Linked DNA regions of Danio rerio. The protein of the gene in region 2 interacts with the protein of the main gene of each other region in a pairwise test. Links are inferred from orthologs where the notes say so. Each region holds a gene or a part of one and is shown on either strand. Other genes may lie near its edges. The genes, in order: crtc1a, creb1a and pogzb.

Region 1 (3,653 bases), on a different chromosome or scaffold from region 2:
GAGAAGCATTCATTATTTTTAACCATGTCAAAGGATTATATCAGTGCCCTATGTGAACCTGAGATGAGGAGATATATAGAGAGATTGAACTGTATTGGTCTATGGCAGTTCTTAGCTTCCTTTTGTTTGACAAATGATCCAACGGCGTCATAAAAATACTTTAATAAAAATTATTTGAATGTTTTTTTTTTTATGTTGTGAATTGAAGAAGTAGATATTTCAGGTATCTTCAAAGCAGAATCCTTTAATGAGAACTCACAGTTGCTGTGTTGTTGATCAAAAACTTAAACTAGTGCAGCTTTGCACTCAGTTTAAATACATTTTGGGGGGGCAGTGAAACATAGAGGTGGAGTCAAATCTAAACAAAGTATGCAAAGGAAGTACAGGAGTCAGCCAGGTAAACTGCGTTTTTCCAGCTCTAATCTCATCAACAAAATAGTACACATTCAGATGCATAGGTGTTAATCCAGTTAGCCGTTTGAGACCCTGCCCGATAGTCAGGAAATGCTTATTGACAATAGGTTAAAATATACCGGCTAGAGTTTTGAATTAATTTGTATTTCTAAAGAACCAAAGAATATAATTTGTATATAACTTTAGTTATATACAGTTGAAGTCAGAATTATTAGCCCCCTTTGAATTTATTTTTATTTTTTTTTAATTTTCCCAAATTATGTTTAACAGAGCAAGGACATTTTCACAGTATGTTTGATAATATTTTTTCTTCTGGAGAAAGTTTTATTTGATTTATTTTGGTTAGAATAAAAGCAGTTTTCAATTTTTTAAAAAACATTTTAAGGTCGAAATTATTAGCCACTTTAAGCTATTTTTTTTCTGTAGTCCAAACCATCGATATACAATAACTTGCCTAATCACCCTAAACTGCCTAGTTAACCTAATTAACCTAGTTAATCCTTTAAATGTCTCTTTAAGCTGTATAGAAGTGTCATGAAAAATATCTAATAAAATATTATTTACTGTCATCATGGAAATAATAAAATAAGTCCATCATTAGAAATTAGTTATTGAAACTATTATGTTTAGAAATGTGTTGAAAAAATCTTCCCTCCGTTAAACAGAAAATGGGGAAAAAAATAAACAGGGGGTAAATAATTCGGGGGGGGGCTAATAATTCTGACTTCCACTGTACATTATTGTTTATTTGAAACTAGATTATATAGATTTTCATTGTAACACACGGCTGTAATAGCTACAGAACCTGCTAATATAATACTATTGCATATCTGCTTAAAGCCTCAATCACATTAGCAGCAACTTTGTAACTGCCTGTCGCTCTGGGTGGTGACCTGCTGCAAACGCAGGTCTTTGTAGGTCTTCAGCACAGAGAATAATATCGGCCTCTCAGCGAGCTGAGAGAGGATCACATGAGCTCTAATGGTGCTCTCATTGACTGTTGCTCAATGAAAGTTGTTCTTCATTTGCAAAAATGTAAAGAATTCTCAACTTTGTTGCATCGTTCGACACACCCACTTCGTCGCCAACGGTCGCTGACACTAACATGAACAGAGGTCGCTGGAAGTCGCTCACTCTCCATTGAAATAAACGGTTGCTCGCCGCTCATAGTGTGAATGAGGCTTTTGAATACTGCCATAATAGTAAGCTACATCTTATTTTACTTTATTACCTGCATCCACTTTTGTGTCCTTAAACACACATTATTTAGAGTCGACTGCCGCTCACTCGATATTTTCTCTTTTTCGGACTATTCTCTGTAAATCCTAGAGATGGTTGTGCATAAAAATCCCAGTAGATCAGCAGTTTCTAAAATACTCAGACCAGACCGTCTGGCACCAACAACCATGCCAAGTTTAAAGTCACTTAAATCACCTTTGTTCCACATTCTGATAAAGCATAGTTTTAGTTTCTTTTAACTTGTTTACTGTATGTCTTGTTACATAGCAGATTTTAGATCCTGTTCAGTTTTATATTAAAAGTCAGAAATGACAAGGAGGCAGCTTCCTTTAATAGAAAGTCAATGGAGAGGGTTGGATTGTTTTTTCCCCTGATGGGCCTGGCTTTTATGTTAGGAAATGTGTGCATCACAATTGATAGTTTTCAGTCATGTGACCTGTATGGAGACCTGGCGGGCAAAAGACAGTTGGCTGTAATGGCAGCTTCATTGGGATTCCATAGAAACTTTTAGATATTTTTATCTGTTTTAAGCTACGAATATTCGGCTCGCATATTAAGAGAACAAAATAGAGATATGATCACAAACTCTACATTTTGGGCGATCCAAAATGTACCCGCAGCCATTTTCAGTCAATTTAAAATCATCAGAGCTACTATTCAGCAATATCTGTATGTATGTTTTGGATTTTCCTCAGCAATTTAGTCATTGGTGACGGTGTTAAACTTAAATTGCACTTAACCTGCAAGTTAGAATAGAAACTGTTTAAACTGTGTGTTATAAATCTACTGACAGTTATTGGTACCATGCTATGGGTCAATGATGCTACCATTAGGCACAAATCAATAACTTTGCTTAAAAAATGTTCTTTCTATGAAGGAATTTCTGAAGAAGCACAGCCCAGACATGTCTCCTCATCGGTTAGTAATGTTTTATGTTATTGCACTACAATTATTCTGCTTTTTGGGTAAGCACATGATTTTACAGTCAGTGAAAGACAGTATTTTTTGCCCACCAGGGTGGCGTTCCCTTAATTGTGTGACGTCATGTGAAAACTGTCAATAGGAGCCCATTTTCTTTACAATACAATACAATATTTATTTATAGAGCACATTTAAAAATAACCAAGGTGACCAAAGTGCTGTACATAGGAGTGCTAAAAAGCAGAATATAAAATAAGCATTTAACAGATAAGAGCAATAAAACAGTGATCAAGGAGTATTAAAAGCGAGAGAAAATAGATAGGTCTTTAAAACAGACTTAAACACAGAGATGGAGGGGGAAAGTCTAATGTGAATCGGGAGACTGTTCCAGAGTTTAGGACCAGCAACAGCAAACGCTCGATCACCTCATTTTGTTCAAATGTTCTTTGACCATTTTATATCATGACTGCTTATTCGATTCATGTGAAAGTGAGGTTTCCTGTTTTAAAGTAGTCATGCAATCGAAATAAAGCGTTCATGGATAATTTTTAGGAATATCAATTTCATTTGAGTCAATTTTATTTTATTGTACCGAATTAAGAATTATATTGAGAGCTTGTGAATCAGAATCTAATCGAATCGGGTCCTCTGAATCAGTACCCAGCTCTAGTTCCACAAAAGCAGCATTTCTGTCTCAGCTGTTAATAGTCTGTCAATCTGAATCTGTGTTTGACAGGCAGTGACGATAGACGCCATGACCCTGGAGCAGCAGTTGGCTCAGTATGCTTTCTTTAGCCAGCCGTCCACTCAGACACAGGGGGGAGGTGGGCTTCCTCCGTTGCCAGTCGTCTCCTCCAGCCAGACGCAAACCTCTGTGGGCATCGATATCAATACGGTAAGATTACATCTCAACACTTGCAGTGGAATTTTTTAGATCTCGGTATGGCCAACTGTCAGTCAGAGCATACAGGGCACTAAGAGGTTAACTCCTTTTCTAAATGATAACGAATACAATACCAGTCAAATGCTTTGGGATATATGCTTATGTTTTTGGAATTTATTAGAAATGAAATGGGTGA
Region 2 (4,364 bases):
GTGGGGAATCTCACCAGTTGCTTTTCCTGTTTTTCCAGTGCTGTCCGGTCTCTGGCAATTTGTCTCTGCGTTCCTCGCAGCTCTTTGTTTTGTTCTTTAATGACATCTGTAGAATGAAGGAGACATAGTTATCGATCGCCATATAAATTAATAATGCTAAAATGTCTGAGTCAGTTATAACAAATTAATGTGTTGGAACTACTTTCATAGCAAGGTTCAGAGGAACGATTAACGTAAAGGGACAGTGATTTCTTTTAAGAGCTAACGTTACTGGATTAGTTTATTTTAAACCGACATGCTTAAGTATTATTTGTAAGACACAAGCGAAAGAAGCCAAATGTAAAATGTTTACGTCATGGCAGCAATTCAAAGACACGTCTTTGTACAAACTACAGCCCAAATCGTATTTAATGTATTAAATAAAACGACAGAAATTGCTAACGCAGTCTTTGATAGACGTGAGAGCGTTGCTTGGGCGGCTTTGACAAACAAACAAGCACTCAAAGCGGCGGCAAGAAACTTACCATCTACGGTCTTTTTCTTGAATAACGATGTCATTACTGCAACAAACTCCGCCGACCAAGAAACTAATAAGAAAACTAAGTATATCACAATGACTATTATCAAGTGAGAGTTGGCTATCAAAATATCATGACTATTTCCTGGTTCCTGACAAGAAGGCGGTGAACTTCTGCTCTTCTGCATCAGTTATTCATTTTAATTGGTGAACATTGACGTGACGTTGCATTGAAGCTATCCAGTCGTAACATCACACTGACTGGCACCGCCCATAGATGTCTGCCGCAAAAACAAAGGTCTCTCTGTCGTTCTCGTAACTAAAAACTAAAATAAAAATATCTAAAAATAAGATAAAATGTATATATATAATATACAAATCAATACTTAAAATAATAATAATATTTAAATATTATTTAATGACAAGAAATACATCATAAATTAATAATAATAATACCAATGACAATTATAAATAAATATATACAGGAGTTTTTCTACAAATTTATGTGAAAACAAAAAGAAAACTGTCCTTTAATAAAGTATTAAACAATTACACAATTATATAAAACATTATATAATAATACTATAAATTATCATTTTTCTTCCAATTGTCAAATTTCAGATTCGATGGCTTCTAAAAGGCTGAAAACCCCTGCTGTAGTACATTTGAACAGATTTATTCATATTCATTACGACAAAAGTCAGCCAATCGTAGCGCACGGATTTGACGCATGCTCATGTGAACAGTCACGGAGAGACACCTCGTGTAAATTCGACTCTGCTCGATGGCTGTTCGTGTAGGTTCGTGCTACGTTCGGCAAGTTCCGCCTACCTCTCGGATCTTGTCGATCCTGAATTAGGGCTGTATTTCGTCCCCCTCGTTCTCTGTGTTGTTGTCCTCGGTGACGCGACGGAGGTGTAGCCTGACGCGGTCTCTTACGTGTCGGACTAAATAAAAGTGGAGCTCCGGAGGCCTGGGAGTGACGAGGCGAGTCTGTGTCGGGTAAGAAGAGACGCATTCGTGGGGGAAAGAGATAATACACTTGGCGTTTTAGTGGACATGTCGCAATGCTCGATCCGTCTGTAACAAAGAGATCATGGCGGCGGTGGGCATGTTTCTCCACAGCTCAGACTTGCTTGCAGACAATGAGTCAGGTTGTAGAAGGAGGAAAGCGGGACGGGTCTACAAAATACATGTGTTTATGGGAGAGAGATGCGTAGTTATGAATGTGACCGCCCGTCCATGGCACCTTTTTATGAAAGTCCAGCGCGTGAAATGATTTTTTTTCTTTTTTGGCTCCAGCATTGGTTTGTTGAGCAGTCTAAGCTCTCCGTGATACATTAAAGATCTTTACTGTATTCCCGCCCGAGCAATGGTGTTTTGTACCACATTAAACAGCTATTCTTTATCATAAATTGTGGGTTTTAACTGGTAAATAAAATTATAGAGAAAAAAATGATTCATGAGTATTTTTCCATTCTGAGTGCACCATAAAACAGAGTGATTTTGTGCCGCATGCTTGATTCATTCAACGTGGAGTGCTATTTTACAAGTCGAAACACGCCTAAAAATGCAAGCGCTTGTATTTATTGTGCTGTTTTTTATTTCTCAAATGGCCTTAGATGGAAAATCATGAAAAATAAAATGATTTAGCTTGCACTGTATGCCGATTTTATTTTCCTTTAAGTTACCACGTTCATAAATGCTTAAAAACCAAGACACAGATCTGACTGACAGCTGCATACGGAAGTAAAAAAAAGGCGGCAAATGGAGTCATCTTGTGTTTGTGGCACACTATGATTAAGGTCTCATTTTTAACACGATTACTTGTTACAAAATAGTCACAGCTCCATAAAAGACTAATATTAATGATATTTACTGTTAAATATGCATATTCTTATTTTTGTGCTGAGGCTTGGTGGCTGCTTTTGTTAAAATACATTATAATGCAAATATTTCACTTTAGTAATGCCATTTTTTACGTGAAGAAATATACATTTCTGGAAACATTTCACCCCTTTAAGAATTTAATACATTTAAATTTTATTTTTGGATTTACATTAAATTGACATGTTTAACGTTAAGTATGTTTAAAAAAAATGCATAAATGTATATTTTATATTTAAAATGTTCGTAATGACTTTATATCAAACCCAGTCTGTGGGTAGAAGTTTTTTTTTTTTTTTGCAGTCAACCTTTAAAATAATCGTGGGTGCATAACAATACCCTTTTTTGGGCAGTTTGATAACCTACCCTGTGTATATATTCATTGCATAATTTTCAAAGTATACAAATGAAGGACTCTTGAATTACATCTTCAGGCTATCTAGATGACCATGGAGGCAGGAGCAGATGTCCAGCAGGGCGGCGACACTGCGGTCTCAGAGACAGACACTCAGCAGATTGCCACCTTGGCACAAGTGAGTTTCTGGCATTAAGATGCTTCCAAAGCTTTTGGAAACGTTTGCTAGGATGACAAGACTGATTATGATTACAAGGGTTATGGTTATTATACATGTAGATCCGGGATGATGTTTTTATTTAATTAAACCTTATTGTACCTCCCTGGTGCAGGTTTCCATGGCGGCAGCACAGGCATCAGCAACTGCACCCACAGTGACCTTAGTTCAGCTGCCCAATGGGCAAACAGTGCAAGTTCACGGGGTCATCCAGGCAGCCCAGCCCTCTGTCATACAATCCCCACAGGTGCAAACTGTACAAGTAAGCCAAATTTTGTTATTATTTTAATCACCCTCATCTTGTTCCTAACTCCTTAGACCGTCTTTTATCTTTGGAACACAAATTGAAATATTTTAGTGCAAAGATGGAATTTTCATTTTTAGATGAAATATCTCTTCAAAGTTTAGGATGACAAAGTGTTTACTGATTCAGGTGTATAAAGCATGAATATTTATGCCTTTTTGTATCAGATTTCTACTATTGCTGAGAGTGATGATTCTCAGGAGTCAGTGGACAGTGTGACAGATTCTCAGAAAAGGAGAGAGATTCTGTCTAGACGGCCCTCATACAGGTATCTGCATGTTTCTAAATTTGATGACACATTTATAATCCTGTTTTAACGAAAGCTGCATCTTTTTTTCTGCAAAAATCTGTTTAAAATGAAAAATGAGGACACAAGTGTCTATAAACTTACTATAGCAAGAAAACTGTTTCATATTTTTTAACTTAACATTTATTAAACAGTGCGGAAATATTACAGTAACATTCATTCCTCATTTAATGAATCATAGTAGTTATTTCAAAAATGTTTTCAAATGGTTTGTGTTTTTACCATTTAATTAAGACATTCTTTGAATTTACAATTTACACATGAACAACACTTAAAGTGAAACAGTCGATTTGTTTTACCTTTCATAAAATGTATAAAAGCACATAATCTAAAAACTAATTTTTTAACAGCACACAATTAAAAAAATAATAATTTTATTTAAATATTTAAAACGTATAACTGATTGTTTCTTTTTTACTTAAATAAACGTTTACTTTCTGAAAAAAAGAGAGATGTTTTTAAGTTTGTCAGTCATTCATGTGGTATAAATATATTTTAATATGTATAGCAATTATATAAAATTATTTATTAAAGGTTTTTACACTTGTGTAGCATCAAATGTTTCAGACAGAGAGTATTTTTGACAGCTAAAGGTGATCCATGCATACCCAAGTTCAAAATGACTTGAACATGAAATCACAATAGGGTGGTGCGGTGGCTCATTGGTTGGCACTGTCACCTCACAGCAAGAAAGTTGCTGGTTCGAGCTTTGGCTGGATCAGATGGCATTTCTGTGTGAAGTTTGCATGTTCTCCCCGTGTTCATGTGGGTTTTCTC
Region 3 (4,326 bases), on a different chromosome or scaffold from region 2:
TTGGGGTGACCGCGTTTGTGGTTCGAAAAGTGAGAGTAGCAGGGATCTGCACTGTGCTGAAAGTACTAGGCGTTTGGGCTCTGTTTACAACCGGAGCTCCAGCCCTTATTTGAGCAGGCTGGGTAATTATTTGGGTTGCTCCGATGGCTGGTTTGAAAATTTGTGTGCCAGGTGCTTAAAAAAGACATAAAGAAAACACTGTTAATTAATGCACAGAACTATAGCGTAAGACCATAACAAGAGCACACTGACATACCCTGGAGTAGAGTAATCGGTCGAACAGTTTGGCCTTGTTGGACATTCAGCACTAAACTCATTGGACCCTGGCCAGGCTGGATATTCTGGACAGGAAGACCCTGTATCAGATGAAAGGACGCACATAGATGAACACTTGTTGAGACAATGTGCTTTTGTTGAGTGATGTGCTGGAATCTATATGGTGAAATGGCAGCACCTGTGTGGTAAAGTAGATCGGCTGACTGTTGGTAACATTGGCAATAGATGTTCCAGGCAGGAGAACCTGTGACAGAGCCACAGTGCCCAGTCCACCTCCTCCTGGTGCCAAGATGACCGGCTGCCCTTGCACTGCTTTAGGGATCTCAGTCGGCACAACCGCACGTTGAGTTACTGAAAAAATAAATGACTGATCACCAAGAGTAATGCAGGCTGAATGTCAACAAGACTGCATCCATCTACTACTTTAGTAGTTGATATGACTTTTGCGCTCCCCTTCTAAGGATATTTACACAACAACAATGTACTGAAAAGTTTCTATTCGCTACAAATTTTGAGAAAATATGAGAAAACATTAGAAAACGGTTTGCAAAAGTTCGAATTTTGATGATTTTAATGATTTTAAAACAATTGCAATAAACACTCGCTGGCCACTTTATTACGTACATCTGTCCAACTGCTCGATAACACAAATTTCTAATCAGCCAATCACATGGCAGAAACTCATTGCATTTAGGCATGTAGACATGGTCAAGACGATCTGCTACACTTCAAACCGAGCATCAGAATGGGGAATAAAAAGGTGAATTTAGTGACTTTGAACGTGTCATGGTTGTTTGTGCCAGACGGGCTGGTCTGAGTATTTTAGAAACTGCTGATCTACCAGGATTTTCACACACAACCATCTTCTGGTGGCTACTTCCAGCAGGATAATGTGCCACGTCATAAAGCGCGAATCATCTCAAACTGAATCCTTGAACAATGAGTTCATTGTACTTAAATGGCCTCCACAGTCACCAGATTTCAATCCAATAGAGCACCTTTGGGATGTGGTGGAACAGGAGATTCGCATCATGAATGTGCAGCCGACAAATCTGCAGCAACTGTGTGATGTTATCATGTCAATATGGACCAAAATCTCTGAGGAATATTTCCAGTACCTTGATGAATCTATGCCATGAAGGATTAAGGCAGTTCTGAGGGCAAAAGGGAGTCCAACTCGGTACTAGTAAGGTGTACCTAATAAAGTGGCAGGTGAGTATATAGCACACAAATCATAAAAAACAATTTTATTCTTCATTTAACTCATAATTAAAAGAATTGTGTTTTTTTGTCATTTGCATTTCTTTAAAACAAGTCTTTTTTGTTGTTATTTTGAAGTGTCTGAACTCTATCCCCAGTTTGCTTCTCTTAAATTAAACAAACAGGTGATTCTTCCTAACTTAATTTGTGTTCTGGAGCATCATGTGAATGAGTAAATAATTATTAAAGAAAAGGAGACTCACTTGTATTTGTGATCAGCGGAACCGTGTTCGCCGCATTTACTACAGACGTTAGGCTTGGGATCACCATGGTCTTAGGCGGAGCTGGAACATCAACCACCGGGGCTGGAGTGGAAGTGACTTAACATTGGAGGACGACAAGTTTCAGATGTTATAATGATGTTAAAATTATTATTAAAGTAAAATATATATATTTCTGGAATATCTATAATTAACAAAAGTTAAGAAGATAATTAAAAACTATGTTAAATTTCTCTATAATTAAAAATATTACAAAAATACACACCGGAGGGAGTACTGCTTTCAGCATTTCCGGCTGGTTCATCCATAGACTGCTGTTGCCATGGCTCCAGCTCCTCCTCCTCACACTCCATAAACAAATCCGAATCCATGTTTCTGAAAGAAAGTAAACGTGTTTAAAATCTACAAACTGTGAGGGTACAAATGACAATTGGTGCATTATGTATTCATAAATCAAAAACATGTTTCATTTTAAATTAGACAAGTGAAAAATATTTTTGAACTGAAGACCCTCACCTTCTGACAGGAATCGGGTCCGACCAGTTTTAACGTCAAGACTGGCGTTTACAAAATCCCTTCATCCTGTAAATTATACAAATAAGTATATGAATAAAACATGAATAGTAGTACATTTTGTATTTATATACATTTAAAACAAACAAAAAAAAATCCTGCATTAATGGGGTTAACATCGGATATTCAGAGCGCTGCCGCATCACTTCCTAAAAATCTCCCAAAAAAGTGTGATTTCATCTAACCGACAGGGGCGAAGAGAAAAGTAGTTCCTGGTCACCGATATGCACTGGCTGAGACCAGATGATCTGACTGATAGAAGCAAAAGCATGAGCCTTGGATGTGTGTACAATAACAGAAAATAGGGCTGAAATACAAACTGGGTCGGAACAGGACTCAGCGCTGTGTCTATCACAAAAACTCAGTCACAAATAATGCAGCAACCCCTCGCGCGTCGCCTACTGAGTGCGCACTCCGCATACTGTCCTCCGCGCACATAACGAAAGACGGCCATCTAACGCGTGAATTAAAGCGCGTATTTGTAAAAAAAATACTTACCAGATTATAGTCTATATAGAAATATATTCAACGTGATATATTGAAAGAACACAAAGCCTGCCGGTACGTCACAGACGAGACGAATAAATGCGCTAAATGGGCAGAGGTTCTGTTTTTTCTCCTGCTGCGATTGGTTGATACGCTCAAAACGCCACTTCCTGTTTTGAATTCGCAACGCTGATTGGCTGTAATCTCTGAAATAAGGAGGAGTGGTTACTGGAACAAGAAAATGGCGTCCTTCTCGACAAACGACAACATTTTATACGGTCTAGCCAACTGCTGGTTTAATAAAGAAATGATTTAATTATTCAACACACTGTTAGTATTTTGAGGAGGACCTGTCAAAACCATCACAAACTGTCTTTTCTTAAATCAATTTATGATTTTGAAAAATTGCTCACACAAAATATCTATTATATAAAATTATTTGCTTAAATATTCATATTTTAGCCCTGGTATGCACAATGCACTGATAAATGAAATAAGTGTAATTTTTTAGAAAACGTTCAGTTTAAAAAAATTCTGGAACCGATCACGACATCCGGTTTCATTATGGCTCTGAACGCGGGTTCATCCGCCAATGTGGACAGAACAGCACACTGCAGAGTTCACCGCACTTTTCAGAACAACCGAGAACACAGCACGAATCAGGCAGGACCACTGGTCCGATTCAAAATCAAACGACTCTTATGACTCGGTTCTTTTAGTGAATCAAAAACATTCAAAAGTTCAGTCCATACACACACAATCGTTTGTTCGACTATATATATATATATATATATATATATATATATATATATATATATATATATATATATATATATATATATATATATATATATATATATATAGTCGAAGTAACGACTGGTTTAAACCGATTGCTTTAGTTAATTGTACATTATGAATCAGAAAGTCTGAAAGTTATCATAAAGACATCGAATGTAAATTAAAGCTGCATTCTTTAATTCAAAATATCCACAGCACAATAGAAGTTTTACCATTTATATAAGTAGAATATGCCCTGAATATCCTACTAAATTTAAGCTACAATCTGACAACTAATCATTTCTTAATTGTGCCGAGATAAACGTTTCATAATAAACGTTTCATAACCAGTCGAAGCGCAGAGCAGGTAAGCTTCTGTTTAAGTTGCTTAAGTCAAGCCCTATATATAGCATTGTGCACAGAGAGGACACAACGTGAGCGTGTTTTCTTCATGTTGTTTACTTCTGCATGCGAGATGAAGGATCCGGGCACATCATCTGACGGAGTGAACTATGGCGCTGTCCTCGCGCTGCTGGTGATCAGTGAGTAACGTTTTTTAGTACTTTCAGAAGTTTTATTATAATCTTATTTTAATATAAAAAATGGGTCTGGTCCCAAAACTTCTACTGCATCACAATTTAAGGCCCTGAAATGTTAATTAATTAATTAAATCTTTAATGGCATTAAATGCATGCACTACAACAATTAATGAATATTTCATTATTTTATATTT

What was found.
Region 1: the proteins of creb1a (region 2) and crtc1a interact in binary tests that used the Homo sapiens proteins (3 or more experiments, as listed by UniProt). The link is inferred for Danio rerio from reciprocal best matches to the Homo sapiens genes CREB1 and CRTC1.
Region 3: the proteins of creb1a (region 2) and pogzb interact in a two-hybrid assay, tested with the Homo sapiens proteins (2 studies listed by BioGRID and IntAct). The link is inferred for Danio rerio from reciprocal best matches to the Homo sapiens genes CREB1 and POGZ.

What each region holds. Positions count from the first base shown.
Region 1 is NC_133177.1:27,921,145-27,924,797, reverse strand, and holds part of crtc1a (uncharacterized protein), read left to right. Parts: intron 1-3,310; coding exon 3,311-3,469; intron 3,470-3,653. UniProt on the Homo sapiens protein: Transcriptional coactivator for CREB1 which activates transcription through both consensus and variant cAMP response element (CRE) sites.
Region 2 is NC_133176.1:37,068,623-37,072,986, reverse strand, and holds the start of creb1a (cyclic AMP-responsive element-binding protein 1a), read left to right. Parts: upstream 1-1,411; 5' UTR 1,412-1,519; intron 1,520-2,838; 5' UTR 2,839-2,847; coding exon 2,848-2,937; intron 2,938-3,091; coding exon 3,092-3,238; intron 3,239-3,447; coding exon 3,448-3,548; intron 3,549-4,364. Other genes in the region: chmp2bb (charged multivesicular body protein 2b), read right to left, coding at 15-106, 525-558.
Region 3 is NC_133191.1:42,522,871-42,527,196, reverse strand, and holds the start of pogzb (uncharacterized protein LOC561483), read right to left. Parts: upstream 2,890-4,326; 5' UTR 2,829-2,889; exon of another isoform or gene 2,516-2,828; intron 2,340-2,515; 5' UTR 2,274-2,339; intron 2,133-2,273; 5' UTR 2,129-2,132; coding exon 2,023-2,128; intron 1,857-2,022; coding exon 1,740-1,856; intron 628-1,739; coding exon 455-627; intron 357-454; coding exon 257-356; intron 175-256; coding exon 1-174. Other genes in the region: si:dkey-23o4.6 (retinol dehydrogenase 12), read left to right, coding at 4,045-4,135. UniProt on the Homo sapiens protein: Plays a role in mitotic cell cycle progression and is involved in kinetochore assembly and mitotic sister chromatid cohesion.